Drosophila melanogaster: one gene and its partners. Changing the gene in region 1 together with any one later gene gives a genetic interaction. Each region holds a gene or a part of one and is shown on either strand. Other genes may lie near its edges. The genes, in order: Ge-1, btz and DCP1.

Region 1 (12,307 bases):
CAACCTTTTGGCTGCTGCCCATGATGGAGATTTACGCATCTGGGATATTCGCAAGGGTAGTTGCCCGACGCACTATATCACAGCACATTTAAATAGAGTGCATGGCATCAATTGGAGCCACAAAAGGGAGACCTGCTTGGCAACCGCCAGTCAGGATGGAACGGTCAAGTACTTTGATGTATGTAATCCTCGCAGGGCCGAGAAGATCATTACAACCATGTCGCCCGTTTGGAGAGCGAGATACACGGTAATTTATATTGGTTTATCAATATTGATTGCTATTCTAAATACATCTTGTTCCATACAGCCTATTGGCAACGGTCTGGTTAGCATTGTGGTGCCCCATTTGGGACGCGGAGAGAATAGTTTGCTGCTCTGGAGCAACAGCAAGCAAACGGACCCTATTTGTTCCTTCGTGGGGCACACCGATGTCATTCTTGACTTTGCCTGGCGTCCAAATCGTGAAAGTTCCAATGAAATAGTAAGTATTTTAAAGATACCACAATGTTCTTACTTATGCATTGAGCTTTAATTAGGAACTGGTCACTTGGTCCAGGGATCGCACGCTGCGGGTGTGGAAGATCGATGATAATATGCTAAAGCTTTGCGAACCGTCTGCGGAAGAAATAGAATCCCGTTTCGAGCCCGATCTCAGTGAGTTAAGAGTGCCTACTCCTCCAGAATTCCTGCATCCACGATCAATTTTGGTTGCCGCTTCGTTGCCCATATCCACGGGTGACGGTGCTTGTAATACCTTGCCCATGGCTCGCTCCCCGAGCTTTGGAGGTGGCTACTATCGCAGGGAAGAGCCCCACATAGCCAGATCACTAACAGATCAACCCACGTGTTCGCTGCACCACGAATTCTCGCTGCTCAACACAAACATGCCTCATGTGGAGGTAGACACACTAGATGCCATAAAGCGGTACGCCTGCTTCAAGATTTGCGCCGGTGGACACACGGTTATTTTACAAGTGACTTTCACGACATCGTATCCAAGTCCTAGTGCTCCGCCGGACTTTCAGCTTTGCCAGGGAACCACTCTGTCCAGTGAAGTTAGTGGAGTTCTGCTAAAAGTGCTCCGTTGCAATGCATTGCAACGGGTCAAGAAATCCCGCACGTGCCTGGAACAATGCCTACGTGCTCTAGTGGCGGCTATGAAGAAAAAGGTGGCCGCTGTAGGCGGAGCGGATCGTAGCCAACTGCTCCTGCAATCCCCTCGGCTGGAAGGAGCTTTGTCGAGCACCCTGCACGATGCCTGCATTCCATATCCGCGGACGTCAGGGGTCCATTTCAATGCCATTGGTATGCTGACCACTTTCGCCCAACCAGTGAACAACAAAAGGCTGACCCTGCGGCAACACACCGCATTGACTCCACGGACTTTTTCATCGATTAATGGTAGTGGATTGCTAGGCAATGTGATGGCCACCGCCCAGAGGGAAGCTAACGCCTCCTTTTACCTCCAGGAGAGGATGATTTCGGGAAAACCGGGCAAGCAGCGAGCCATCCGACAGATGAATGGAAGTCCGGTGGTTCACGTATACGACACAAGTAGCTTACTCCACATTAGTCGGAGAATGGCTCGGGAGTTCTCCCTCGATAAGTGCAACATAGCAGAAACGTGTCGTAAAAATGGTGAGATCTGTCGCCAGCATGGGCGCTTGGACTTGGTGCCCGTGTGGCTATTGGCGGAACTGATAGCCACACCCCAAATTCCACATGAAACACTCAACGATCTGCTGTTCTACAAAGATCCCTTCAAGAAATCTCTGCTGGAATCACTAATAATGCATTATGCTATCTCCGGTGACATACAGACTGCTGTGCTGCTGGCTTGTTTGTTTGACAAGTGCCCCACGGGTGGCGGTGCCATTATGGAGAAGACAGTTCGACTTCCGCCGCAGCTTAACTCGCAAATTTCACCGTATCACACGGTCCTGCCGCTTGACGTCAAGTCATCTTCTTCATCGAACACTTGGCAGCAACTTAAGCAACTACGCAGCAACTCTTGGTCCGACTCCCTGGATTTGGAGATTAAGCAAATCCAGTCTGATGCATACGCTTGCTCATTGATTAGACGGACTAAGATGCCACTGTTTGATCAATTTAAGCGCGCCTATGCCGAAATTTTATTTGGCTGGCAGTTGCTTTCGAAGCGGGCTTTGATCCTCAAGCACACGCAGAATACACCACCTCCAGTCCAGGGTGTGGAATTCGTTACCGAGTGCAGGAAGTGTGCCAAGCCCAAACGGACGCCCAAATGCGAGCCCTGCAAGCGACCCGTACTCTTCTGCGTCCTCTGCCGTTTGCCTGTGAAAGGAGCAGCCAATGCGTGTCTGGCTTGTGGCCATGGCGGTCACATTGATCACATGATGCAGTGGTTTGAGGTTGGTATCTATTTGAGTTTGATTCGACTGGTTTCTTTTTCACGAACCAAACGATGTATGGATTTGGATTTATGGATTTATGGATATAAATATATTCATGTTTGCTATTTTCTTGTTTAACTTTCAGAAACACAATGTCTGTGCTACGTGTGGCTGCAAGTGCTTGGAGCGCACCTCAGAGCTGCTAGCCCTACTCAGCTGATTCAGACCTTGAGTGATGTGCATTCCTTTCAAAAATAATCTTACTTAACTTTCTTTCGTCTGTGTGGATATCAAAATAGTTAGGTGTTTTTTAGTCATTAGGCCAACAATTTTTGTACGATTTGCATACCATTGAGAAATATATGACCACTTACTAGCCAAGCTAAGGGTAAAAGCTTTATGCAACTATACACTTAACCAAAATCATATGGTTACGATAATTCAAAAAGAACTGTTTCTAGATTTTTTCAAGTACATACATTTATTCTTTTTTATTATCGACTTTTGCTTTCTGTTTTTTTTTTTTTTTTTTAGCTTAAATTCTACGATTTACTTGTAGTTTTTGCATTTGCAATCTAATAATTTTTTTGTTTTGTCCGTCATAATAAAGTTTGCTTTAGTTTTGAAAATAATTTTTAAATAAGTTTCTACAGCTCCTATTCTTGTTTTTGTGTGTTTTCTTTTGTTCATTAAGCGTCATAAAGATAAAAAGGAAAATAAAAGGAACGCAAAAATAAAATAATAAAAAAATATATTGCAATTTAGTAGGCGAATCATTATAAAGATAATACAATTTTGATATAGCGACATAAACATTAGATATACGGCCTTACTATAAACAAATCACGCACAAAACAAATAAACAATAAAATGAAAGGCATAGATTCAATTTCAACTTTTTAAGGGATGAACTTAGCTGAGAGCTTTTTAGCATACTAACTTCTTTTTGGACTTAACTACAAGCGTGTATTTATAAATGTGTTTGTGGTCATAGATTAACTATCTTGGATGGGGATCGGATGGGTAATCTATCAAAACCAGCCACTGGCCAGGTTATAGTTCTCTTGATATCATTTTAGCTGATCGCGGTACGTTATGATTGCCTTCATCAGCAGACGGACGTTGCTGAACTGCGAATTCTTGGGGCTGTTCTTAATGAACTGCTGACAATTGCGATACAGCTCGGTGAGCACTTTAGGAGCGTGCTCGCGGGTAATGGGATCTGCCATATTGATGGCCAACAGTGCCTCGTTGAGATATCTACAAATGAAAAAGGTACATCATCAATGTAATTCTTTGTAATGTTTTGTTACTTGTTTAGTTCTCCTAGCTCACCTCTGCTTAAGCTCATTGTGATTGGTCATGTCAGCGGATATTTGCTGAATGAGCGACAGTAGAACCTTTTGCTCCAGTCTGCATCCCTCTGGTGCGAATGCCTGGTTGCTGTCCGTGTGTCGGAGAGTGAACTCCACTAGGCCCAAGTCGTTGGCCAATAGAGCCTGATGGAAGGCCTTGTTGATTTGTCCAGCCATCAAAAGCTGCTTAATGCTGTCCCTGAGGTCGTAAGGTGGTGCAGGCGTAGCTGCCTGCGAACGCATTGCCACGTTCTGGGCTTCCATGTGCTTGCGTAGCTCTGCTCTGATCGTTTCCTGTACCTGACGCGCCAGCAAAATCTCTAAGCTCTTCACTTCTCTTTGTGTCTCGAGCATGGCGTCCGTGAGTTCAGTGCGGTGCTTGTGCAAGCTGCTCTCTACCAATTGCTTAAGCATGGACAACTTGTTGTTTATCTCCTCCGTATTGCCACTCCCGGCTTGGGGCTGTGGCATGTGCTGCAGGTAGGTGTTAAACTGGACCATAACTGGAATTCAAAAGAAGGAGCTTTATGTATCCATTATGATTGTAATGATTATATACTAACAGTCTTTTATGCCCACGCTGAAAGCGTCATGCAGTTGTTTAAACATGTTCTGCGAGGACTTCTCATAAGCTGGAATCAAGGTGCTGCTCATAGATTCAATGAAGGCGGTTTGTAGGCTGGTTTGAACACCAATCAACACGGACTTGCCAAAAGTATCCAGAAATTGCTAAGTAATGAAAAAAAAACGCTTAATTATAAGCATTTATAGATGGACTTGCAGATTACGTACCTTGCTCTTGCACACCTGGGCAATATTCTCCTTCACCGTTTTGTCAAACACACTCAGCTTCTGCACAATCTCCACTTGCATTTGGGCTTGGAGCTGATCCATGTTGGCATTCACGCGAGGAAGCAGTTGGCGCTGCAGTTCCATGTTGAGAACGTTGCCAATAATGTCCGTAAAGTGGTTCATGACATACTGATTTAGTACCTGCAGCACGGAGTCACGTAGCTCTCGGTTTTGGCTCTCACTGCAAAAAGTATTCACTTGGATTGTGCCCCGGAAAATTTGTTATATGTATCTTACCGCGCCGCCAAGAATTCCGTCAGTTTCTTCTTATGCTCGTTTTCATATCGCTTGAGATACTGCTCCATTAGCTTGGACAGTTGCATCTCAATTTTATATGCTAGCTGACTAAGATTTTTAGGCTCCAATGAAGTGTCTTGTTTGCTATGCAGGGCCGCCGCCGCTTCTTGCTGCTTTTGTAGCTTGTTGACTTCGTTCTCCAATTTGTTTATTTGTTTGGACTGGGCTTTTACTAGATCTGCAAATAATTTATGTGAAATTGTTAGTATTTGAAGTACGTTACGCCATCATGCCTCTTTTAATATAAAATATTTAAAATTTCTGATTGAAGATCACAACCACTTACCTATGAGTAGTTCCATTTTGGCATTTAGCTCTCCAGTTCCACTTGAATCAACGCATGTTCCGCCCGCGTTGTTGCTGCTGCTGGTGTTGCTGGTGCTAAGAGTTGTAGCCGTGTTGTTGTTGCTATTGCTGCCTACACTTGTGTTATTATTGTGCCCTCCACCTAGCGTAGGCGGCACATTGCCATTGTTGGTGTTCTGCACCGCCTGGGACATGATCTGGGCAGCATTCTGGAGCTCAGCTGAGTGGGATGACAGCTTGACAATGGGCCATGTTCCGTCAACAGCTTCCGGGAGCGGTGATGAATTTGCCAGCTCTTCTTCCTCATCGTCATCATCGTCGTCCAGATTCTCTAGCTCTGCTTCGTAGGCATCGGCATCGTCCTGTGTGGCCATTATCTCCTGCACCTCTCGACTCGGACTCGAACTGCCGCTGGCCAAGTTCTCAGCCACATTCCGCTCTGGATTGCGATCAATTGCAATGAACTTCTTGCGAGCGTCAAGCTTTTCCTTCAGCTTTTGTTGCTCGCGATCTTCGATTAGGGTGTTGTTCATTAGGTTGAGGAGTACCTCGGCATTGGGGTTTTCGGAAGTCTTGGACGTTACCGTGGCCAGCATTCGTATAGTTTGCAGAACCGCTGAATCAATGGATCTATCCTGACCGCTGGTGGTGGTAGAGCTATCAGTTCCTATTGAAGTTGTGGTGCTGGTAGACACAAATACAGCTGCTGCCGCTGCGGTTCCGCTTGCACTGAAGGCATCTGGAGTCATGAGATTAACCTGCTGCGTATACGCGCTGCTTAGTTGCGGGGACTCTGACTTGGCCGCCTCCTTAGTGGCGTCCTGCAGGATGGCCGAAGGTGCCGCAGCCGCGGCTGCCGCCACGGCCACCATGGCAGATGAACTGCCCGTTGAAGCTCTCTTTGCGGATTTTGCGAATAATGCATCCAGCTGAACAGCACCCACAGTTCCACTGTTGGGGGATTCCGGCTCCTCTTTGATTAGCAGATTGTCTTCTGGCGTCTGTGATCGCTTGCTGTTTAGGCTGCTCCGCTCCGTCTTTTCAGCCACACATGGCTGGTAGATTATTTGACATTCCTGCAGGCTCTTTGCCTGCACCACAAACATGTGCAGCACAAGGGCACTGGTGGAATTGGAATCGTCATCGAAGTCATCGGGCTCCTCAATAGGATAGTAGCTCTCGATGGAGTTCTTAACGCGACGCATACTAGCGTTTACAATAGAAAAAGAGAGAATCCCCGAACTCAGCTTGAATTCGGCAACATTCTGAATGCGTTTGGAAGTGTCGCAGCCTTCTCCTTCGCTATCGCTACTCCTATTCTCGGAGTCTGCGCCGCCAGTACTGCCAATCTGCATTACATACACGGCCAGAGAGTCCAGGCAAGACAACACCAAGTAGTTCGCACTGCGATCTATGCCCGCGATAAAGTTTCTGGGCTGCAAAGATGACGGACTGGCCACCACATTGATAGTTTGGAGGCATTTCCATAGCGAGCAGTTCCAGAGCTTGATTTCGGTATTGGCATCGCTCGTAGTGATCACGTGCTGCCAGTAGGATCTAATGGGAAAGTTTAATATAATAATTATATTTAATTATTATATAATAACTACTTACTCTTCCACAGGCTTGTTGATATTGTCGAGAAAAAAGAGAGAGCAGACTTTTTTGCCATCATGTGGCTTCCACTCGTGCAGGCAGCGATGGTTGCGCACATCGAACAAATAAATTTGGTAGAAACGAACCAAGCCATCGGCGCAAGCAGCAGCCACAGTGGTGCCATCCGGGGACAAAGCGGCGCACGTGATCAACGAGTCCTCCTCAATCTTCAGATATCCAGATTCTAGGGCTGCTGGTTGGATCTTGCCGCGCTGTTAAGGTAAATGCCATTAATGATATGTTTGGCGCTGAACATTAGCACAAACGAACCCCATGTTCAGAGACAATCATCTTCACTTGAAAGCATTGAAATTGAGAGCTTCGCGACCAAATGAGCAGCTGATTCTCATCGTCATCGTCGTTGATTGGAACGGTGGCGCTGCTGCTGCAGACATAGGGACACCAGGAGACCATATCGTACTCCGGCACATAGTTGGCGATGGGGTCCTCCACCTTTAGCACTAGATTGCACAGCAGGTTCCCTTCGATTTGATCGACTTTGTAGACAAACAGCGAACTGACATCGATCACAGCTAATATACGCTCACAATCCGTATGGGCAAACTGCAGATCTAAGACCTCGCCGCTCATTCCCTTGATCAAGGCTCGCATACTGGTGGCTATGTTGCATACGCGCACCATGCCCTCCATTCCGGTGGCTTTGTTGTTGACTGGGAGCACAATGAAGTTATTATACAATAGCTTTTAAATTAATTTTAAAATTAACACAAGGTAAATGGGTTCATAAGTATACATAATAATTAAACCATCATTCCCCGGAAGCTCTGTAAAATATTGATTGGGACATGATTCCCATCGATAAATTCAAGAATCATTCCTTTTTTATAAAACTCAAGAATTGCGAGAAAAAGTTGTCACACATAAATAAAATCTAATTGGTCAAGAAACTGCAATGGGATATAAATTACTTACCATTAATGGCGTACGCCAGGTGCTTGCCATCGCGGTGGACAGCGACCAGGTGACCCGGATAGTAGTACTTGCGCTCCCACTTGTAGTCGACGATGTTCTTTAGCTTGACCTTGGAGGAACCGCGTGTGTGAACGCCGCCGGATGTGAGGACCTTGGTCTTATTGGATCTAATAACGCGGCAACACTGCTTCTCTTGCGCTTGGAAATGGCTGTTAGGCACAAAAAAAAAAGAATTAATTAAGCAAGGGCCGTCTATTGGATAACCGGTGATACGCACATGACTTCTATTTCCTGGGGCTCTGCCGCATTGCCGTTGGCGGCAATCGGCTTGTCCTGTTCGGCGCTGTTGCTCATCCCGGATGCTGCGTCAATGGCTGAAGCAGTAATGCTGATGCAGGCGTCTGCTGGCGGTGGATGGTACGCGGTACTTGCTTTGCCACACCTTGGCGACCGGTGGACAGACGGCGGCGGGGAGGAGGAGGCTGACAAAGGCGTCTTACGAAAGATTGGCAAGTGTGCAAGCGCGAAGAGCGCGATTAACATTGACACATCGGCTGACTGCAGGTGGGAGGATGATACGGCATGGGGGTACACATTATTAATTTCGCCAGTTGATGAACAGCAACGACTCGCACACCAACCTGCCCTATCAATACGCAGCAGTCGAATGGTCTCCTTTACTCCTGCTAAATGCACCCAGCCGGTACTTGGTAAAACTGGCCTCCAGCAATTGATCGTCTACTTAGCGAAACTAAACCATTTAGTTGGCTGCTTCTCGTAAACTCACAAATTTTCGCAAAAAACTTTTTTTTTTTTGCCGCAAAACCATAGAGGTGTGTAGCGGCGTGTGCTAGGGCAATCGATGGACAGCGTCTGTTATCGGCGACGCGGATGCCAGGGATGGACGCTCAGCGAAACGTTCTTTCGAAATCAAGAAAACACGTTTCGGTTGCACTTTCGTTTTATTGCATTTTAACATCAACTTAATACATTTATCTTTATTCATAGAGATGTATATCCATCAAAACAATACACATTGATTACGCAGCGACGTAATAATATGTTTACATAGTGTTTCAATATCACTTTTTCTTTTCATATTACATTTTGTTTCGTTTCTCTTGTGTGATTGTGTGTGGTGGTAGGTCATTGAAAATGTTTAACAAGTTGAAGAAAAACTCATATATCTAATGGTTTAAATATGCAAAAGATGTGATATATGCCGGTATGTCTGATAAATTCAAAGTTAGCATATACGTACAGAATCAGTGGTCCGAGTAAATCAAATTTGTCTCCTGTTTCGGTAGAAAGAAATTTTGGTAATTGTAGATAATATCAAGTGTTATTGTGTTTTATCGTGTACACTATACAGATAGAAAATATATTAAGATGTATATATTTTTTGAAAAACCTAAGCTAAGCTTTCAAGGAAATGAATTTCTTTATCGATTTTTTACCTTTCACTTTTCTAATACTTAAACATTAAGCCTGGCTTCTTTTTAGGTTCGTTTTTTGTAGTTCTTATTTTTGAGTTAATGTTTTTTTTGTGGTTTTTAATTTTCATTGCCGGAATGAATAGAAGGGACATTTTCGAGGCATACACAAAACAGTAATAAATAGCAAATGGAGAAGTAAAATGTCTTCGCAGCAGGAAATATTACACCTGGGATTGGACCACTTTGTGGCAGTTTCATTAATCACTAGGGTGAGGGTGAGATACGGAGTGCGGAGTGGCTGTCAAGCGAAAGAATTGTGTGTCATTTACTCGTAACAATTAGGAGAAGCGCATATACATATATCTCTAAATATACATATACATACATATATAAATCGATCTGCATAAATATCTATAGAGGCGGCATTATTGTTGTTGTTCTCGCATGATTTGTTTTGTGTTCTTGAGATTTAACTAGCCTACAAATTAAATTAGCAACTTCAATGCATAAACGGACGAGCTATCAGATCCATCGCTGGTGTTTCTACCCGCTTAAGACTGAGCAAGCTCTTGAGTAAACAAATGGTAGTTACATAGAAGCTGTTGGAACTTTCAGATCTGGCGAATATTTATCTGCAGACTGTGTAAATATTTTCACAACGAAATTTTACGAGCCTACTCAAAGATTTGCCCAGTCTTATCGTTGTGTAAGCACCTCGAATCGTAAATTGTGCTTGCAACATACAGAAACAACAAAATAAGTGTTTAACATAAAGGTGAATCGATTTCTTTCAGTGCATGAACAAATGAATTAATACTAATAGCATGAATTCATTTCAGCTATTTGCCTTAAATCCGAGGATTTCATATTAAACTTGGTCGTTATCAATTTTTTCTCCGTTTTTGGTAATTTCAATTAGTATTCAAATTTAAGGGAAACTAATTCGTAGTTTTTCTGAAATCTTACGCCCAATATGTATCTAATGCAGTTTAATGTGCAGAAAAGAGGGAAATATACTAATAGCTTAAAGAAAGTATAACAAATTATAAGGAATGTTAAATTTTGGTTCGAGACACTTAAAATGGTCGCAAAAATACACACACAGGCAAACGAAAGTCACATATCGCCCAAAAATAAATCGATTCACCCTCATTCACATGATCATTTTCGCTGCTTAAACGTTGGTATAAGCAGCTCCTGCCGAACCAGAGGATCCACCGGTCACGTTTGCTGTCACCGGTGCGCAAATCGAGGAGCTCGTTCGCCCTGTACTATCACTGGCATTAAGTCCCTCCAGCTTGAGACGCATCTCCTCCTTGCGCGTCTGGACGCTCAGAAGTTCGTCACTTAAATCGTTGCAAAGGTGGAGCAGTGAGTTGTTCTGCTCCCGCAGCCGTTGCAGTACTTCCGTGGTATTGGCCTGACCCTGTTTGAAGGACACGTGACGTAGCGAGTCACTGATGGCGGTTACTCGCTTCTCAAAGCTCTCAGCACTGGGCAGCTGACCAGTTTGGGTGGTCAAACCAACAGCTGGAGCCGGCGGTGGCGGCTGCTGGGGCGGCGATTGCGATCCACGTGGCGTTTGCGGCTTTCGGTAAACCTCGAAGGCAGAAACGCGCTGCTGTGCCTGCTGAAGAGTGATTCTTGTGGGCGGCACCACTGCTGCCTGTGGCGGTGGTGCTGCCGGCGGCAAGGAGTGTAGCTGCTGCTCGTCCACCTATAAGGTCAGAGTACCAATTAGTAAGACAATCATACAAATGGATGCGTTTATTTATATAAGCTACTGAATTTGGACACATGACACTAGTGGAGCTACGGCCAATTGTAGTGGAATGCTTTACGAGTTGCATACATTTAGGATTGGACTTACGACGTTCGCGGCGCCTTCGTCGGCAAAGTGCGTGAAATCGGCAAACCCCGTTGAGGTTTGCATATCGAAGCTGGCCTGCGCGGTGATCTTAACAAAAGGGGTTCCATATTTATATACATTTCACAGGTTATAGGTAGGTAGTTAGGCAAAATCAAGCAAACAAAAAACACAAAAACAATATAAGCAAATTCGGTTTCCCGAAGTTTACGGTTTCCTTTGCAAATGCTTAACAATTGTGGACTCTTAAAAGACACTGTATTTTCATTTCAATAAATTGAATCTGTAGCAAAACTGTATTCGCCTTCATTTGCACAGTACACCACAAATATTGAAAACAGAGACGGAACACACGGAATGTTTTGGAAGTTCCTTAGTTTGTTATAGCATTGCAGGGGATAAGTGCGGATCTACGAAATACTATCCCCTACAAGGCTTTATTTAATGACCAAGGCATATAAAACGACACAGATTGAAATTCTCAGATAAAATTGGAAATTGTTGGTCCATAGGACATAACATACCTCCGCCTGTTGGGCACCGCCCGTTGCGCCTATTTTAAACTTGTTTAAGTCCAGACTGCTGCTCCGTGCATGACGATGTGGCCTTGGCGGTGGCAGAGGCGGTGGCTCCTTCTTCGACGCCAAAGACGATGCCACGTAGGCAGCCTGCGGTTCCTGCGACTCACTTGGCCCAGTGGATCCGATACTGGGCTCGCGTTGCGGTGGCGGTGGCAATGCACTGTTCTTGGCCGGCAGCTTTTTGGCTTGAGGCCGTTGGATGGCACGCAGATCGCTGCTATCGCGGTGGGAGGAGCCAGCGACTCCCGATATTCCGGGTACAACAGCAGATGACTGATTATTGACAGTAGTCGAAGAGATGGCCTTGGGACTATCCTCGCGCTGAGCCACCGCGCTCTCGTTTTCGTTAGATGACTCAGCTGAGGAAGCGATGGCGGTGCCTACAGATGAGATAAGGAATAATTATATTTATATTCAATTTATAGAATACTATTTTAGTTCTTCTACTCACCAATGGGCGTCACTCTTAGCGGCACTGGGTGCAGAATCTGCGGATTGGATACCACGTCTTGGGCCGAGCGCTTCATATCAAACAGGACTGGCTTGAGCCCGGGACTAGATGCGCCAGAAGCGGCTGCTCCGGCTGCTACAACAGGTGCTGCCCCAGTGGTTGACTGTACCGAAACCGCACTTGTTGTTGGAGATTCGCTAA
Region 2 (9,913 bases), on another chromosome or scaffold:
CCATTACTCTAGAGCCATTGATTGGTACATTATTTTTGTTGAATGGAATGATTCATTTCAATCGTTCTTATCATATAATTTCAAAGGAAATAACTGGGTAATGTCCCCACGTATCAAAAGTAATATCTTCGGATAAGCTTTGTCCGAAAAATATTGCATTGAGTGCTTTTATTGTATGCCAAAGACGCTTTTACCTGATAAAATAGTTTATCGCCCAATGTAAACAACTAAATTTTGCTCATAGATAAGCATTTAAATGTGAACGGTGTTCGTGCTCTTTGTGAATTAATTTTACATACCCTTAATTGCCTTCAGAATGAAAACCTCCTGCGCTTGGGCGACCATCAGAGCCTGCAGCACGGTTAGCGTATCCTGGCTGAGATCGGGCGTGGGTTCCGAGGGCACTGCCGCTGGCGTCGCTCCCTTCAAATACTGAAAGATGCCGGCGCTCTGCTGGAGCAGTTTGATGGTCAGCTTAAGGCCGTCATCCGAATCCAGGGACTGGTTGGCAGCGATGTTGCTCTGCAGGGCGGCAATGTTGAAGAGCACACAGACCTTCTCGTAAAGCAAGGAGGTGTGAGCTGTGGATGGTGGATGCCGTTGGGTTAGTGGTGAAATATACTTGGCACATGGCAATGAATCACTCACTCAGGCTGATCTTGCCGCCGAAAATGGAGCCCTTGTCGAAGGCATCCTTCCACTTAAAGGGTATCTGAAGTTCGCTAACCGATATCTTGGTCTCCAGCGCACAAATCTGGTCATAATAGCTGGAAATACAGAGCAGGCAACAAAACCCGGAGGCAAAACATTTAGTTAACGACTACGTCATCCGAGAGCTTGTTTACGTCTGACCACCACACCAATACAGAAGCACCAGGTGGAATCGAATCGAATGGAATGGGTGTGATTAGCTGCCCCGTTGTGCGGGTGACTCATCGGGAGATTCCCGGAAGAAGGCCACAAAGACATGGTGGTACTTACGCGTACACAATCTCCAGCGAAGCCTCGTACTTTTCAAAGAATTTCCAAATTGCCGTATTGCGTTGTTTCGAAAATTCGTTGACGGCCTCTCCGTACTTGCCCTTCTCCTCCTCCGACGCACCGTTGTAGGTGCTCTGGATGAGATTGTTCAGCGGCTTGATCACATCCACCTCCGACGGCTTCTTCAGCGGCACGCCCAGAAACTTCGACATCTTTTCCTGTTCTGCGGAGTCTGCTTCTTGTCCGACTTCTGATTCCAAGTGATATTAATTAATCGTCTGTCGCTCTATTCGAACTCCGCTTTACGCTCTCTTTCCTTCCCCTACAACAGCTGGCCAGCGATGTCCAGCCGTCGATACCGTTTTCGATAGCCACTAAAGAAATACTAAGGATTTAGTTCTATACTTCAAAGGTGAATTTTTGTCAAAGATACTTAATATTGTAAACTATTAAAAAAAAGTAATAGAATATTTTTTCTATGTTCTATGTTCTATATGTTTTTTATTACTAACATGAACCGGTAACTACCAGAGCTGCCACTATTTCAATACGTATGCACATTGCTACGTTTCTCGCCCTGTCGTTACGTTTTCAACAGTGTGGCATCTCTGCGGCGAGAGAAAGGTAACCCTAGACTTTCTATTTTCTGATTGCGTTGTTGTCGAGAAAATTGTGCGAAATTATTGGTTTTTTCTTAGAATTTACCGTAACAAGAAGCACGCTTACTAGAGTAGTTAGGCCTTGTCAAGAATTCGCACGTGAGTTGATATACGGAGCCCTGGCTTGGATATCCCAGTGACACCTAGAATCCCGTTCTATGTCATTCCGCAGAAGAAGCAGCAGCAGCAGTAGCGAGGCAGAAAACCGAAGAGACCCCGCGATGGCCGAAGTGGAGAAACCAACGGCGGCCACGCCCCCGACCGACATCCCCCAGGCCACGGCTGCACCTGCCAGCGAGGCGCCAGTGGCTGTAACGCCCACAGCGGATACCACCGTGGACGTCGAGCCGGGCACCTCGCCCACCCAGGAGCCCAACTCCAATTCGCATCCGCACGACTCCGAGTACGACACGGCCAGTGATCTGGAGGGCGGAGAGGACTATGACGACGAGGAGAGTGCCAGCGGCAGCGCCAGTGGCAGTGGGAGCGAGGAGGAATCTGAGACGGACGACGAGGACGATGAGGTGGGCAGCGAAACGGACGATGGCGAAGGGGAGCAGGCGATGGACCGCTCCGTCGCAGACAGTGAGGCCCAGAAGAAGGTGGACGAGGATCGCAGCAATCCGCAGTACATCCCAAAGCGGGGCACTTTCTACGAGCACGACGATCGGACGGCGGAGACCGAGGGAGAAATCCTGATCGAACCCGAAAACGGTGCTGGCCAGGCGGCGGCGGAGCCAAATGGCGAACTCAATGGACTTGCGGCCGCCGGTGCCACGCCGACTGGCCAAACGCCACAGATCTCACAGGCATCGAAGACCATGCGAAAATGGCAACCAGCTTCAGGCGGTGATCGCTGGTCTCACGATCGATTCGAGGCCACGGAGCAGGCTCCCAAATCCCGTGCAGAGTTGCTGCAAACATACGGCTACGACATTAGAAACGAGGACGCACCACCCAGAGCCAGACGTCGCCGGCGATATACGCGTGGGCCTAGTAAATACTCAAGAAACTGGGAGGACGAGCAGGCCTACCTCAAAGCCAGCAATAAGGAGCGCAAGCCGCCGCGGCCACAGGACTTCCCGGCGCTCAACGAAAGAAAGCCACGTGGTCCACGAACATCATCCTCGCGTGAGGAAAAGGAAAACCGACGGTCCGTCGCTGCTGAAGGCTTGGTTCCAGAGAAGCAACAGCCCTTGGCCAGTAGCTCCAATCCACACAGATCCCAGGAGCGTGAACGTGAGAGGGAAAGGGAGCGGGAACGCGATCGAGAGCCCAAGAATCGCAACTTCGGGCGGATGAACGGCGGCCCCGGACGTCAGAATGGCATGGAATTTAAGAAGAACAACCGTGGACAGCAGCTAAGAGAGCGGGAGCGGGGGCCAGACCAACTGGACAACCGTAACCAGAAGCCATCCACTCCACGCTCCAACCAACAACAACAGCCGCAGCAGCAACCTCATCATCAGCAACAGCCACAGCAGCAACGACAGCCGTCCCAGCCGCAGCAGTCTCCACAGACGCCGCTTTCCACGTCGAACCTTTCGCAGCGGCTCCAGCAGGTGCAGCAACGCAATGATCCCAGCCATGTGGGCAGTGTCCAGATGCATTCTCTGGCTAGCCAAAATCAGGCGCCTCAGCAGCAGCAGCAGCAGCCACTGCATCAGGAACAACGAAATGCGCCCAAGCGCTACTCCAGCTTGCGTCGCTCACAGCAGGAGGCATCACAGCACTTGGCTGAGCAGCAGCAACAGCAGATGCAGCAGCAGTTGCATCTTCAACAGCAACAGCAGCAGCAACAATCGCAGATCATGATTCAGGACCCCCATGTTCTGATGCAGATCGCCTATCAGCAACAGGAGCTGCAGGCCCAACTGCAGACCATGCAACTTGGACCACCTACTGCCGCAGGAGCAGTTCCAACACCACCAAAGCCACATGCCCCGCCGGCAGCCGCATATCCGCAAGCACAGGCGGCACCGTACTATGTGACCGGAACGGAGCCAGTTCCAGTGCCCGTTCCCCAGGCACCGTATGTTAATCCGGCTAGTGCCGCTTACTTGCCAACCACTCCGGCTGCCGTGGCGTACGCCCAAGCAGGGCCTCCGGTTGTAACACAACCCACACCGCCGCCCGCTCAGGCGCCGCCCGCAACGCAGCCGGCTCAGCCGTATCAGAACTACAACACGGTCGGTGGCACAACCTACTTTGTACCGCCGGCTCAAACCACTAGCCGACCAAGTGCTCTGCCCCAGCGTCGTCCCACCAACGCGATTCCCATTCTCCCGCCCTCCGAAAAGCATAAGGTCAAGGGTGGAGCGAAGGAGGAGGGCATCTCGGACAACATAGATCACATCATTGACAACATGTTCGTGCAGCGACCTTCGGCCTTCCAGGCTACCGGCGAAGGCGCAACTCCAGGTGGGGGAACAAAGGAAGAGGCGGCAGCCACTCCACCGGCTGCCGAGCAGAACCTTCAGCCAGTTCCGGCCACTGGGCAGGAATGAGTGCAGGCGTACGCCGGCTTGCCGCCACAGCAGCAGCAGAGACGAGGCCAACGGATAGCGCCGCCGCCCTCCTCCGGCTACTCAATGCTGCAGCCGCACGCTGGCTACTATCGACCTCCGCCCCCGCCGCACTAGTGCGGACAGCCCAGCTCCTAACTCAACTCATACGATTTTTTTTCCCCCATTCTGTCCTTGGGTCTGCGACTCAAAAAGTACTGCATAAATAAAGAAACGCAGTGAGAACCACTTGTAATTAGCATTTAGCTCCCAGATAATCGAAATTACTAACGAAAAGTTTTCGTATATAGACGATTATATATATATATATTGTAATCCGGCGCAAGCTCCAATTAATTTGTACGTAGTATCTAGGGCCGGCTAACGTATTGAAGCGGCTGGGCGCTTAGCTTATTTAGCCGCATTTTAGAATTGAAACACAAGAATTACCGAGAGAAATGTATTTGCAAAAACTAATCGATCATTGAATTTAAATAAACGTTTAACACGAAGTTACAAATGCTGCACACCCTTTCTGTCAAACTACAAACTACCAACGAAGTCTGCGTTTTCACTTAGTTTCCGGTGAAAGGTGGGTTGAACTAGGGATCCAATTTCAAATAAAAAATATTTAAATTCGACTGTTCGTTAAAATCTAGGTAATTGTGCTAATTGAAACAAAATGGAAAGAAAAACCAAAAATCTACTTTCTGATTGGAACTAAAAATGAGAACTGAATTTCAATGACGACATAAAGTAAGATTAGATCTTTTCTTAATACTAGATGAGCTTTTCATAGCTTGGATTCCTTGGCCAATTGTTCCAGGAGAACGCTGATGCGGCGGAATGAGTCCTTGAAAATGTCGTTGAACTTGCGAGCGCTTGTCTTTAGGCTATCCCGATAGGCGGTGGTATTAATGAACACACTAGAATGTACGAAATTAAAGAACAATTCAAGATAATGGAGGAGTGTCTAGCTTACGCTTCCGAGGTGATGGAGTAAAAGACGCCATAGCCATCGAAGACCATGGGCGCCACGAAACCAACGTTGGCCGTGAAGCCCAGCGTGCTGGACGAGAGCACAAAGTTACCTCCTCCGCCGCTCTTGGTGTACATCGGATCGTCGTAGAAGGCGGGAATGTCCATTTTGCTTTCATACGCCGCGCACCACAGGCCAAACAAGTGCCTATCGATGCCGTGTCCCTTGCGCGCCTCGTTCATGAAGTGCTTGTGCTCATCGACTGCCCTACGGAACGCCCTGGCCAGTGACATATCGCCAACCTGCTTGTTGGATGACGCCCTCAGGAATTCAGCCACAGCGGAAGTGCATGATCGCAGGGTCTCTGTTCGTCCATTGTAGTACTGTCGCATCAGAGCAGTCTCATATGTGGGAGCAATTCTGTTGGATATCCATGGAGTGTTGTTAGTGCTGTTTTTTTTAGTCCAGAGGTGAACTCACTCTTTATGCATTTGGTAGTAGGCCCACTGCATGACCACCTGAACAAAGGAGTCTGGATGCAGTCGATGGGTTTTCATAAAGTCCTTGCCGTAGTCATCGAACGCAGTGAAGGTCACAGTAACGTCAATACCCTAAGGATACCACATACAAAAGGATTAACTAGTTCAATAACAGGTTTCGGAAAAAGGCGTTTTGCCTACCCTGTCATCAATATCCTTCTGCACGCGCTTGATCTCGTTCTTGAGCGTATCATCCAGCTGGAAGTGCAGCTCCTTGACCTCCAAAACATTGCCTTTTTCGGCCTCTGCCCAGTCTGGCTCTGGCACCTCCAGGAAGCTCAGTTGCATGAATGTGGCGTAACTTATGCTGACCGTGCCATCGTAGCAGCTGTGCTCACCCGTCCAGTTGCAGCGTCCGTTGCGGAAGGCGATGATGCTGCTGCTGCGGTCTGCCCAGCGGGAATGGAGATCACCGTAGAGACCCAGCTGGCAGGACTCCTCGTAGTCCTTGGGCGATTGCTCGTACCAGCAGATCTCCATACATGCGCTCTCCACCAGAAGCAGCGTCTCCTTGTTTGCAACTGAGATTTCCCTCAAACGGTTGCGGTTGCGTGCCCACGTGGAGCGTTCGTCATGGCTCAGGGTGGGCACACAATCGCCCAACGGCTCGTAGTCGAGGATGCTGCGCACTCTTTGCAGGGCCACGAGGATTTCGGGAGCCGATAGGATAGTGTCGTCCTCGTGCACACAATCGAAGATGAACTGACGTCCCTTGCCGGAAATAAGCATGTGACTCGGCGTTTTGCCCTCATCCTTGGTGAGAAAATGCTTCTCTATATGATCCTGCTCCTCGCCTGGCACACGGCACGTGGAGAAGAAGTGCTTGTACAGCGCGGAGGAGTACTTTATTTTACCGCCGTTCGAGGAGAGCGGTTTGATGCTGGACTTTCTAGTCAGATCCCAAAACTCCAGCGAGTGGTGAATGTGGCGCGCCAGACTCTTCGAAAATTATACAGTCAATTAGGCAATCTTAAACTTTGTGTTCTTATAGAGCTTGGGGTGTGGGTCCACTCACCTTCAGCATGTACTCCGGTGTCTCCGGCACGCCCACCATTTCCAATTGCGAGGGCATGACCATGAGCTGGTAGGGCAGCAGCGGCATCCGAATCAGGTGATATCCGTAGTCCTCCCACCAGGTGCCCAGCCAGTTCCTCATGCCGGCCGCCCGCTTCTTGAGCTGTTCGTGCAGCTGGGCTCCCACTCCGTTTTGGAACTCATCAATAGTCTTGCGGGCCTGGGCCAACTCCTCCTTGGTCCCGAATGGCTGGATGCAGCTGTAGTAGCGCTCCATGGTGTCCCTAAGCTCCGGCAGCGGGAGCGAAGGTAAGGTCTCGTCGAAGTCGAAGGTGTTCTTATCATCCTTGCTCATAAAATATAGACTAGCCCGGTCCATGGTGGTTTAGCTGCGGGGGACACGTTGGAATCGTTGATATCAGTCTGCGCGTGTGGTGGTTTTCTATAGGCCTAAGTCAGATTAGTACAATAATCATATCGGGAATCGCTTTTACGTTCGTCAGGTCCAAAGTTCACCCAATACATTACTGAGTACATTCACATCGGAAATAAATTGATCTCATCTTATAGGTTAAACATTAAAATGGTGTGCAAATTAATACCACACAACTAAGAACACTTAATGTGCAACTAAGCGGATTATGCGTCAAGTTGAACGTAATCTTTCTTGGACTGCAGCTAGACGACTATCTTCACTAATCTCCTCAAGCTGGACAAAGTCCGGATTGGGGAGCTTTATAAATATTTATACTCCCGGCGCACTGGTGAAATCATAGGCGAATTTCTAGCCCACTGACCTTTGTACTCGATGGGGAATTCACTTTTGCCGGAGACAACTGAAGCGCCAGACTGCCGTTATACGACTGAATCCATAGGTTGGTTCCATATCACAGCAAACCTTGCCGGAGGGGGAGCACTTGAATTATCGCACCGTGGGATCCGCCACCCGCGTCCACTGACTCAGTGCGATAATATATCACCCTAATCATTGCTATTGCAGACAGTCGGCCACCGATAATGGCCGGTTTCATTTGAATTTCTATATGAATTTCTTTTTTAATAACATATTCCAGCAGACACACCCACACAAACCTTCGATGAGGCGGCAGTTGAATGTCGCGCCCGAACTTCAGTTTGCGATGCACTCGATCGAAATTAAAACGGTTCCGCAGCTATCAAGTTCATTAGGCTAGATAAGCAAACAATTTTATAGGTTAAACAATTATTTTTATTATTATACTGCTGCGTTTTTGTTTACAAGCGGCGAAGACCCTATAGGAAATTGGCACAGCAAACAGCTGTTTGCAGGAGTTGCCAGACTTTTTACACCATTTGTTTATACCGTTAGTCACCACATTCTTATTACGTACATCTTATTCTTATTAACATCGCATAGCATTGTACATCGTACCGCAAGATATAATCCTCCCGGATTGATGCAATCAACTGCCATAAACGTACATTGTAACCGTTAACAAAATGCGAATATTGTTTACAATTATTAATTAAATAGGTCATTCAATGTTTTGTAAATATTTAAAACTTATTTAAATTTATTTAATTTAATTCCTTAGCATCCATTCATAGCATCCATGCTGACGCCTATCTGGCAACGCCGCCAGCAGCTGAAACAGCTGACATCTGTCGAAATGAGTGAAAGAGACAGGCAGAAAGAATAGAAAGAAATTTGGGACGCTTGTTTTCTCAAGCGGCTTTATTAAATTTCTAATCCCAGCAAGAGGTGGAAATGCTGCCATCCACGGGTCTCTTTAAGGGCTTCTTGTGCCCTTACTTTGACGGCCAGGATGCGGCGTCCTGCAAGCGCCCCTTTTGCCACTTTAAGCATGCTCGCAAAGGTGAGTGAATTACGTCCAGTTAATTTCGCAACAAATTCTATCCACTCTCGGTTTACAGACGAATTGGAGGCCGCTCCACCTGCAGAACCTTCCCCCGTGCCCAAGTACAAGCCGGCACCCAAGTTGCTCTCCCTTCCACTGCCCCAGATCACGCTATGTGCGCCCCGGAAGAAGTCCAATCTGGAGTACCACCCGGAGAAGCCGGCTCTTGACGCATCGCCGGCTAAGAAGAAGCAGGAGGCGTCCGTGGACAGTGCTCCCAAATATGTGCCCGGCCAGCCATCTGTTACAAATGGCGAAGAATATGACGATTGGCAGGCGGTACTCGAAAAGGAAATTGATGAGCAGATGCAGGTGGAGATTGAGGAGCAAGTCCAGAATAACGACGAAGAACAGAAGATAGATACGGTAGCTGAAAACGAGGAGGACCAGGAGAATACGCAACTGACGGATGCTAGGGATAGCCACGAAAAGGATCGAAAGCCCAGCAAGGAGCGGGAAAGGGATATAGAAAAGAAGAAGATCAGAGAGCTGAAAAGGGAAAAGATCAAAGACAGGGATCGGGACCGGGACCGGGACCGGGAAAAAGACAAAGAGAAGAGCAAGGAAAGGGACAGAGAGAAGGAAAAAAATGATAGGGATAAGCGAAAGTCCTCCCACAGCGACAAGGAGCGCTCCAAGGAGCGAAATACTTCAAGCTCAAGTTCCTCTAAGCACAAGTCTTCATCTAGCTCCTCTTCCAGCAAAAAGTCATCCAGCAGCGATAAGCACCGCGACGACAAAAGTTCCAGTAGCAGGCACAAGAGCAGTTCTTCATCATCCTCCTCGAAGAGCCATCATCACAAATCTAGTTCCTCGAGTTCACGGTCCAAAACTAAGAGGAGCTCGTCTTCCAGCAAAAGCGCTGGCACTTCAAAGAGCGAACCGGAGGCGGATAAGGATACTGAAGCAGCTGTACTGACACCAGCAGAACCTATGGATGATCTGGATGACATGGACTTTGATTTTGAAGCAGACACCTCGGAAGGAGAAATTGTACGCCAGTGTGAAATGATTTTTGACGAGATGGAAAAAAAATTTGCGCAGATGCACAAGGACGAAGGCGGCAATGCCAACCCGGAGAGTTCTCGCAAGCGCAAAGCTCCTTCTCCGGACATTGATACCTTCACCGAGGCAGCCACGGCGGCTCTGCAGAAGCGCCGGGTGGCCCACGAGAATGCTGACAAGATCACGCCTCATTTGGCTCCTTCGGCGGCGATGCGCAAACCCAATCACGTCCGTAATGCCATGCAGGCGATCTTCAACCGCCGCGCGGAGCTGCGGCGCCAGGAGAAGCTACAAGCCGAAGCCTCAGCGGAGCAGGTACGTCAGGCACAGGAGC
Region 3 (8,650 bases), on another chromosome or scaffold:
AAACAAAGCCACCTAATAGATGCACATCATGCTCAAACTAACACTCGTGCAAAAAGAAACTCTACTTTGTAGTAATCATTACTTAAATCGCAAGTCTATGTAAATCGGAGAATTGTTATGGCAATCATAATAATACAACATTACGACATTCCGAAAGTTTTGGAATAAGTTACTGTGTTACATTTTAGGTTAAAATATATCCAATATATGTGTAAAATTATAACCTTTCCAATTGTAATTGTATCAAACGCAAAGATATGAACTCATTTTACATTTAATAAATAGTATAGTAACCAGATGTTGGAGGTGATCGACCTGAACGAAACCCACCTGCATTGTTTGCTTAACCCGATCTCAAACCCACCCCGAAAATCCTGTAAAAACAGCAACATATTATTTAGTTATAGAGCATCTAAATGGGAAGCTAGTTTAAGTAGGTTTCAACCTAGTTGTGGGTGCAAATGAGCCTGGAACTACATGCATCGAACAAGTATCAGGTTCTATTGAGTCATTCTGAAAACAACTAACGTTAGTTTGGAAAACATAAAGTAAAGAAAAAGGGTTTATCATGCATAGGTGTGTGTTGCACTTACACACTAACTTGGTATAGTGAAGGCTTTTTCTTTTGCTAATCACCGAGTTGGAACGACTAACTAAGTCTTTACAAAAACTCAAGCATATGGATATACTTAAACCTATGAGTAACTGAACGGCTAATACCCTAAGATTTATTCAATTGTAAACAAATTCGAGAAATTCGACTTAAAAATGCCTTCTATCGGAATTTCAACAGAATTACAGGAATGTTAATGATCCCTATTGCCATGGAGACAGCATATTATTAACGCCAATCGTTACAACAGCCCTTAACTTCGGTCGAGAAGAAGAAAAGGTCCTTAAGGACTACGCTCGACACCCCCTGTCCTTTAACGGTCTTGCATGTTACCCTCGACTATCCCTAGTTGTAGGAGTGCGCCTCAGCTGGGCGGCCAACTGGTTTTCAAATAGTCAACGGCAGCTAGGAGCAGCGGAGAGTATCGAAGCGGAAAGGTTGTGTCCAACCCCCACACATGCAGGGCGACTTGGTTGGTGGTGGTGCCTGGCCAGCTGCGGAGCGATCTCCCCACATGTCCATGCAAAGATCGTGCTTGTGCTCCGAGAGTCGCGCACAAGTCAAGTGGCACGGGCTATGCGAGGAGGAGGAGGGTTAGGGTAGGAGGATCGTGTGCCGGAGAGGAAGTGCCGGCATTATCTCGGCTAAATTCGAATTCGTTTGGTTACGCTGCGTGGTCTTGGCCAAGAGCTCTCGTTCCTCATTTCTCGGTTTTCAGTTTTCGGTTCTCTGGCGGCCAAGAGCATTTAGTTGCCTTAGTTGTACCATGCCGAGCGGACCGCTGAGTTAGGATCGGTTGAGAAGTCTGGCATACGAGTGGAAGTGGAAGTGTAGATAGGATAGTGACCGTTATGGATACCCTGCTGATCGCCATTCTGGCCATCGGACTGCTCCACAGAGGTACAGCCAGATCCTGTGGCGATCCAGCCAGCAACCGATATGGGAAACGCGATTTTTAAATTAAGAAATGAAATCATTCGGAAGGCGCATATAAACGAATTTCGAATGCGCAAACCTTGAGAAAAATAATGACAAATCGGATATCTATAAATACGAACGTATATCCACATTCGGTTCTGAGTTAACATGTGCTAAAACGGAATATAAACAATATATAAACAATATATAAACAATATGTGCAGATTCGATTATCCTTTAATTTGTGGATTTGAACGGGCTGAAGGATTTTACGTGCAATTATTCGTGTTCGAAACTATATGTTTTTCAATGTGGAAAAAGCGCCAGTGGTTTTGAAGTCGGAGCAATAGATGCTAAGTGGAAAGCAAAAGATTCCAGCGAAAGGAACCTAATAAAATTGAACAGAGTTTTCAGAATTTTGGCACACATGATGACAAACTGCCGAATGAAAAATGTTCAATTTTCTAGCTTTTGTTTGTTATTAGTGTCTATTTTTAAAACGAAACAGGCATCCGCTCATCGCGTTTTCGCTTCTCGTAAATATACGCTTTCGCCAAATTATATAGATTTTTGTGTACAATGTGTTTTGGATTTGCCTGTGCTGCATATGTACATATATTCCAAATAATACCGCGCGTGTTCTGTAATTTCGAGACCTCGTCGTGCTAAAAGCTTTTCGTTTCGTTTCTGAATTCTGCGTTCTAATCAGTAATATTCGCTCTCCCCCAGATGCGCTATGCTATCCCACGAGGGATGAGTCCGAGGACAAGATTATAGTCCTTCAGAACGAGGAGATGGAGCCCACGATCCTGGACTGCGACTACGAGGTGGAGGAGAGCCCGAAGTTCATCACCGTCAAATGGTACAGAGACGACAAGTCCATATACCAGTGGATCTTCGGAACACCTCCATATGCCATCGTGAGTGAACCAAACGGTGTGGTGCGCTTAAGATACTAACCGCTTTCCCCTCCTTGATAGCCCGAGTTCAGGAACGAGATTGACAGCACCTATGAGAGCTCCACGGAGCCGAGCAAGCAGTACAGCTCGCTGGCTTTGATCAACCCCACGATCGCCACCACCGGCGACTACAAGTGCGTGGTGCAGACCTCGCTGAACACCTTCTCCAGCCACCAGAGGGTTCAGGTCATAGACCTGAGGAACTACACCCTGGAGCTGTCCCACAAGACGATCCACAATGAGACGCAGCTGAACTGCACCGTGACGAACGTGTATCCCAGGCCCACCATCACGATAATGTAAGGACGAGCGCCTGCCTTGTCGTAAGACAGCCTTGTAGTAAACAACGTCCCAACTCAACTCCGCTCCTATTACAGATCCAACGACATGGACGTGGTGAAGCGGGAGCCCATGGTGTACGAGAACGAGGAGGGATACTTCGATGGCAGCGCCGTGGTGGCGGCCTACGACACCGACGACGATCCCGATGCCTACCAGTGCGTGGTGTCCTTCGAGGGATACGGCAAGAACCTGACCACGGTGGCCACGTCCGCGGCGGCGGGCAGGAGCCACGTCGACTTCAGCCTGTGGCTGTTTTGTTTTCTGTACTACCTGCTCTGCAAGCTGAAGGTATTGGCCTAAATAAAAGCGTTGTTATTTATTGTTACTAAATTAATGTTTATTGAATTCTGTTTGCCATTCAACTACCTTTTCTACGCCCCTTCGGCCTAGTTAACCATTTTGTAAATAAATACGAATACTTCACAAAACCAACTACGTTAGTTAACTCTTAAGGTTGCTCTGGAAATGGATGCCGTCCTTCTCCGGCGGGGCTTCTAGATTTTAAATCTACGACTGCCCTTGTCGGCTTACAGCTATTACATTTTGTAAATTAACTCGGCTTGAACTCGAACTCCATGCGAACAAATGAAAATATGGGCTGCAATTCGGAAATGTTGAATATTTCTGTTTATTGATATGTGGAGCTGGAGTCCAGCAGTAGATTGGAACAGCCGTTCAGGTAGGCCTTGTGCAGCTTGTTGGCAAACTCCTTATCGTTCTGGATAAGGTACGTGAAGGCCTGGACGAACTGCGTCGAGTTCAGCAGTGGCTGCTGTGGCTGCTGTGGCTGCTGTGGCTCCGGATTGCCGTTGTTGGGCGCGTCGAACATGGTGGGCGGCATGAGGGCCGGCCCGGGCTTGTCGCCAGCCAGCAGTCTCCGCAAGCACTTGCCGGCATCGTCGTTGGCCATCAGCGCCGACGAGGACGGGGCGACTGTCGGAGATTGAGCCGTAGCGTAGCTTTTACCGATCTTCAGGTCGCTCAGGAGCTGAATGTTAAGCTGCTGCATCTTCTGGAAGGGCGACAGCCGGCTCTCGTGATTGTCCCTGCCTGCCGGGGGCAACAGATCCTCGCCAGGCGTGGCTGCCCGCTGCTGTTTCTCCAGCTGGTCCACGGAGAGCGGCTGGACGCGGTGGAACAGTGACTCTGCCGTGGCCTGCTTGGCCGATTCGAAGAACTTCAACACATTGCCGGCCGTTACGTTCTCCGCCGAAGGCGTCTTCGGCTGCCCGCCGCTCACCTGGGCATTGTAGTCCTTCTGGGCCTTGGTCAGCATGTTGAATATGCTGGCCGGCTGGCTGCTGTCCTGCTTTGGCTGCTGGGGCGCGGAGACGTGACGCTGGGCCTGGCCATTCGTTCCCTGATCCTTGGACTTGAGCAGCCCGTTCACCAAGCCGCTGATGCGGTCGCACTCCTCGCTGTTGTAGAACCAGAAGCCGCGGATGCGCGAGCGCTCGTTGCGGTAGAGCAGGAACGGCGGCTGCGACTGCAGCTCCAGGCTGCCGGTGATGGGCTCCACGAAGGACGTGGTGTTCAGTCGGTTGTTGATGAAGATGCTGTGAAAGGGCTCCGCGTTGCGGTGGTATATGAAGAAGGCTCCCTCCACATCGGTCTTTTCCCACTCGTTCTGCGACGAGTTGAACGTGTAGAAGGCGACGTGCGAGGACGAATCCACGATCTCCTTGGCGTACGGGTCGATCTTCTTGATGGCCGCCAGGTTCATTCGCGTGATGCTCTCGTCGGCCATTGTAAATTGTATGTAATCTTCAGTTTTGGCTGTGCTATTGCGAATTGCAATTATTTGTGAATTTAACGGCGCTCTGGTCACACTGCCCCGTGGATGTTTTCCCGTGTTTATCAACGACTGTGCTGCGGTCACACCGAATGACAATAAACTCTTCCTTTTGTCTATTAATGATTTGTTTGAGAAATATTAAGTCGATTGACTTGCATATAAAAATGGCCACAATTGTACGTAATAATATTTCTCAATTATGTAGCATAAACATTTAATTTATGTTTACTAATAAAATTTTCAACTTCGATAGCATTTCCATTTCAATATATCGATACTGAAGACCAGCTCTAGAAACTGGCGGGAACTAATTGCATTGCAATTTGTATTTATTTGAACACAGAATTGCCACAAAATGCAAAAGTCTATAACGTAATTTACGATTTAACAAATGCTAAGTATTGCCAATCTAACAATCCCCCGTTTCAGCTCCTTCTTCAAGAAGAAATCCGATGCCACCGACAGCCCCTCGCCGCCCAAGAAAGTTCCTAAGTAAATGGTGCCGCTGTTTTCTTGTTTCATTACTAAATTCCTCGACAAATCATAGGATTGATGCGAAGACCGAACTCCCAGATGAACCCCACATCAAGAGCGAAAGTGCCTCCCCGGAAACTAAGCCCAAGGTAGAACCTATGTCTGTGGATTCCGAGGAGAAGACAAGTCCGGTGAAAAATGTTAAGAAGGAACCAAAGGAAGTCGATGACAAGACCACTGACAAGAAGGTCACAACCATAGGTCTCAACTCCACTGCCGCTACTAAGGAGGATGTGGAAAACTACGATCCATCCGCCGACTCCTATCATCCGCTCAAGAATGCCTACTGGAAGGACAAAAAGGTGTAAGTAGTGCAGGATTTTGAGCCTCCAAGGCGAATTATATCAAAGGAAACACTTTCCAGCACTCCCTACTTGGCACTGGCCCGCACATTTCAAGTAATCGAGGAGACCAAAGGCCGGCTCAAGATGATCGACACGCTGAGCAACTTCTTCTGCTCTGTGATGCTGGTCAGTCCGGAGGATCTTGTGCCCAGCGTCTACCTCAGCATCAACCAACTGGCGCCCGCCTACGAGGGACTGGAGCTGGGCGTTGCCGAGACCACCTTGATGAAGGCCATTTGCAAGGCAACGGGGCGTAATTTGGCTCACATTAAATCGCAGACGCAGCTAACCGGGGATCTGGGCATCGTGGCCGAGCAGTCGCGCGTTTCACAGCGCATGATGTTCCAGCCAGCGCCTCTGAATGTGAGGGATGTGTTCCGGAAGCTACGCGAAATAGCCAAGCTATCCGGTCAGTCGAAAATGGACCTGGTGTACAATATGTTTGTGGCCTGTCGATCGTCGGAGGCTCGCTTCTTTATCCGTTCATTGATTGGCAAGCTAAGAATTGGCATTGCAGAGCAGAGTTTGCTCACAGCGCTGGCCATTGGTTTGGTGAAAAAGAACCACATCGATGATTGCAAGGCTAGCAAGGTGCCGGATGTGTATAAGGATGAAATAGTCGACACCACTTTGCTGTTGAAAACTGCATACTGGTAAGAACTAACTTAAGAACCAGCTAATAATTCAGATGCTAACGAACTTTTGCAGTCAGTGTCCCAACTACGATATCATTATACCGGCCATTCTAAAGTACGATATTAAGGAGCTGCAGGAACGCTGCCCCATGCATCCCGGCATGCCGCTGAGGCCCATGCTCGCCCAGCCCACCAAGGGGGTCCATGAGGTATTTGAGAGATTCGGCGGCATGCAAATCACCTGCGAGTGGAAATACGATGGAGAGCGGGCCCAAATCCACCGCAACGAGAAGGGGGAGATCAGCATATTCTCGCGCAACTCCGAGAACAACACGGCAAAATATCCGGATTTGATTGCCAGGAGCACTGCCTTGCTCAAGGGCGACGTAAAGTCCTACATCATAGACAGCGAAATTGTGGCCTGGGATGTGGAGCGCAAGCAGATTCTGCCGTTTCAGGTGCTCAGCACGCGCAAACGGAAGAACGTTGATATCGAGGAAATCAAGGTCCAAGTCTGTGTCTACATCTTCGATCTGCTGTACATCAATGGCACTGCTCTGGTGACCAAAAACCTGTCGGAGCGTCGCAAGCTCCTGTTGGAGCACTTTCAAGAGGTCGAGGGCGAGTGGAAGTTCGCCACTGCTCTGGACACCAATGACATAGACGAAGTGCAGCAGTTCCTGGAGGAGTCTATCAAAGGTTTGCCCTGCCAACCAACCTAAAAGTTGTTTACTTAAGCTTTATTTCACTAGGAAATTGCGAGGGCCTCATGGTCAAAACATTGGATGAGGAGGCCACCTATGAGATTGCCAAGAGATCCCGCAACTGGCTGAAATTGAAGAAGGACTACCTATCCAATGTGGGCGACTCACTCGATTTGGTGGTCATTGGTGGCTACAAAGGCAAGGGCCGGCGAACTGGAACCTACGGAGGATTTTTGCTTGCCTGCTATGACACCGAAAACGAGGAGTATCAGAGCATATGCAAGATTGGAACTGGCTTCACTGATGAGGACCTGCAAACGCATTCCGAGTTTTTGGGCAAACATGTGACCAGCGCCGCCAAATCCTACTACAGATACGACCCCAGCCTGGAGCCCGATCACTGGTTTGAACCGGTCCAGGTGTGGGAAGTCAAATGCGCGGATCTGTCGCTCAGTCCGATCCACCGAGCAGCCATTGGCATTGTGGACGGAGAGCGGGGCATTTCCTTGAGATTCCCTCGGTTCATTCGGATACGCGACGACAAGAATAGCGAAAACGCAACGGACGCCAATCAGGTGGCCCACATGTACCAGTCGCAGGATCAGGTTAAAAATAATCAAAAGTCGAGCACACAAATGGAGATGGAGGACGAGTTCTACTGACCGGTCTGCTCCAGCCATGTGTACACGATTTATTTAACAATAAAAGTCTGTTATCGCTATTTGACGCTGGTGCTGCTCTCGGAGGATTTGGAGAAGCGACGAGTTTCGAGCTCACACTCCTTCACCTCCTTCGGTTTGGGTTTGTTGCGCCGATTGGGGCGTTTGTTCCTCTTCGAAGTCTTCTCCTCCACCACGGAAGCCTCTCCATCCGAGCCATCTTTGCCGCCTGCACCTTGGGGCAGCTCATCTGATGCACGAATTCGGGCTTTGGGCTGGTAAATGGCAATCGATGGTCGATCCTGTAAACATCAAGCGGGTTAGTAAAATGTCGAGGGGGGTAATAGGTGAGACCCACTTTATTCCGAATGCGCCGCTCCTCTGAAGCTCGAAATTGAGCAGCCTTGATGGCTTCCTCTGCAGTTTCGTGGGCGGAACCTGCTGGCTGCTTGTCTGCGCCGGTTCTTTTTTCCTTGCGACCACCTCTGGCAGCCGGTGTAAAAACCTTGACAGCAGCTTCTGGTGTCTCGGTGTTTTCAGTCGCAGGCTTTTCTTTCGAGGCCTCCGCAGCGTTAGAAGTGGATGGCACGTCCAAACTCTCGTTTGATTCTGGCTTGTTTGCTTTCTTCAAGATAACGATGTCCATGGACTTTGAATTTTTGTTCTGCTTGCCGCTGGATGGCTTGCCTTTGTCCTGTTTGTCCTGTTTGTCCTGCTTGCCCTGGCCGTCATCCTTTTTCTTGTCCCGCTTGACTAGCTTACGCTGTTCGTGTTCCTCGCGTCGCCTCTGATCCCGCTCCGTTCGTCGTTTGGAGCGCGAGGCCTTGGCATCATTGGCTTGGGATCCAGATGACTGCGGATCTTTGACATCCTTTTTGGCTGGCTTCTTCGTGTCTCCTCCTCCGCCGCCTCCTTCGGCCTCCTTAAGCTTGCTGGCGTCCGACTGCGCTGCCAATCGCAACAGCTTCTGCTCCTCGCGTTGCTTCCGCTTCTCCTCGTTCCGCCTGCGCGCCTCCTCCCGGCGCTTCTCCTTCTTGTTGGCCAGGTACTGCAGGAGGGGTGTAGACTTGACCTTCTCTTCTGTTCGCCGTTCGAAGTTGAAGTCGATCTTGACGTCGCCCATGCGACTCGCCTCCTCGCGCTCTTG

What was found.
Region 2: of Ge-1 (region 1) and btz, changing one enhances a phenotype caused by changing the other (phenotypic enhancement), as found in Drosophila melanogaster (one study listed by BioGRID).
Region 3: of Ge-1 (region 1) and DCP1, changing one enhances a phenotype caused by changing the other (phenotypic enhancement), as found in Drosophila melanogaster (one study listed by BioGRID).

What each region holds. Positions count from the first base shown.
Region 1 is NT_033779.5:11,092,246-11,104,552, forward strand, and holds Ge-1 (Ge-1), read right to left. Parts: upstream 8,644-12,307; 5' UTR 8,315-8,643; coding exon 8,049-8,314; intron 7,981-8,048; coding exon 7,772-7,980; intron 7,510-7,771; coding exon 7,109-7,509; intron 7,051-7,108; coding exon 6,797-7,050; intron 6,740-6,796; coding exon 5,163-6,739; intron 5,055-5,162; coding exon 4,817-5,054; intron 4,761-4,816; coding exon 4,520-4,760; intron 4,457-4,519; coding exon 4,291-4,456; intron 4,231-4,290; coding exon 3,708-4,230; intron 3,633-3,707; coding exon 3,443-3,632; 3' UTR 2,905-3,442; downstream 1-2,904. Other genes in the region: Wdr59 (WD repeat domain 59), read left to right, coding at 1-247, 308-481, 537-2,390, 2,518-2,592; Reps (RALBP1 associated Eps domain containing), read right to left, coding at 10,382-10,924, 11,078-11,164, 11,599-12,035, 12,107-12,307. UniProt on the Drosophila melanogaster protein: In the process of mRNA degradation, seems to play a role in mRNA decapping. Required for silencing a subset of endogenous miRNA targets.
Region 2 is NT_033777.3:27,698,787-27,708,699, forward strand, and holds btz (barentsz), read left to right. Parts: upstream 1-1,638; 5' UTR 1,639-1,798; coding exon 1,799-4,147; coding exon of another isoform or gene 4,148-4,282; 3' UTR 4,283-4,659; downstream 4,660-9,913. Other genes in the region: ALiX (ALG-2 interacting protein X), read right to left, coding at 300-581, 649-767, 982-1,193; CROT (carnitine O-octanoyltransferase), read right to left, coding at 4,938-5,070, 5,127-5,543, 5,604-5,734, 5,804-6,601, 6,678-7,055; CG12877 (uncharacterized protein), read left to right, coding at 8,424-8,532, 8,591-9,913.
Region 3 is NT_033778.4:23,885,614-23,894,263, forward strand, and holds DCP1 (decapping protein 1), read right to left. Parts: upstream 4,664-8,650; 5' UTR 4,580-4,663; coding exon 3,461-4,579; 3' UTR 3,151-3,460; downstream 1-3,150. Other genes in the region: CG5597 (uncharacterized protein), read left to right, coding at 1,465-1,513, 2,261-2,451, 2,512-2,789, 2,868-3,132; DNAlig1 (DNA ligase 1), read left to right, coding at 4,983-4,999, 5,057-5,119, 5,175-5,465, 5,526-6,158, 6,214-6,839, 6,893-7,506; Upf3, read right to left, coding at 7,563-7,805, 7,862-8,650.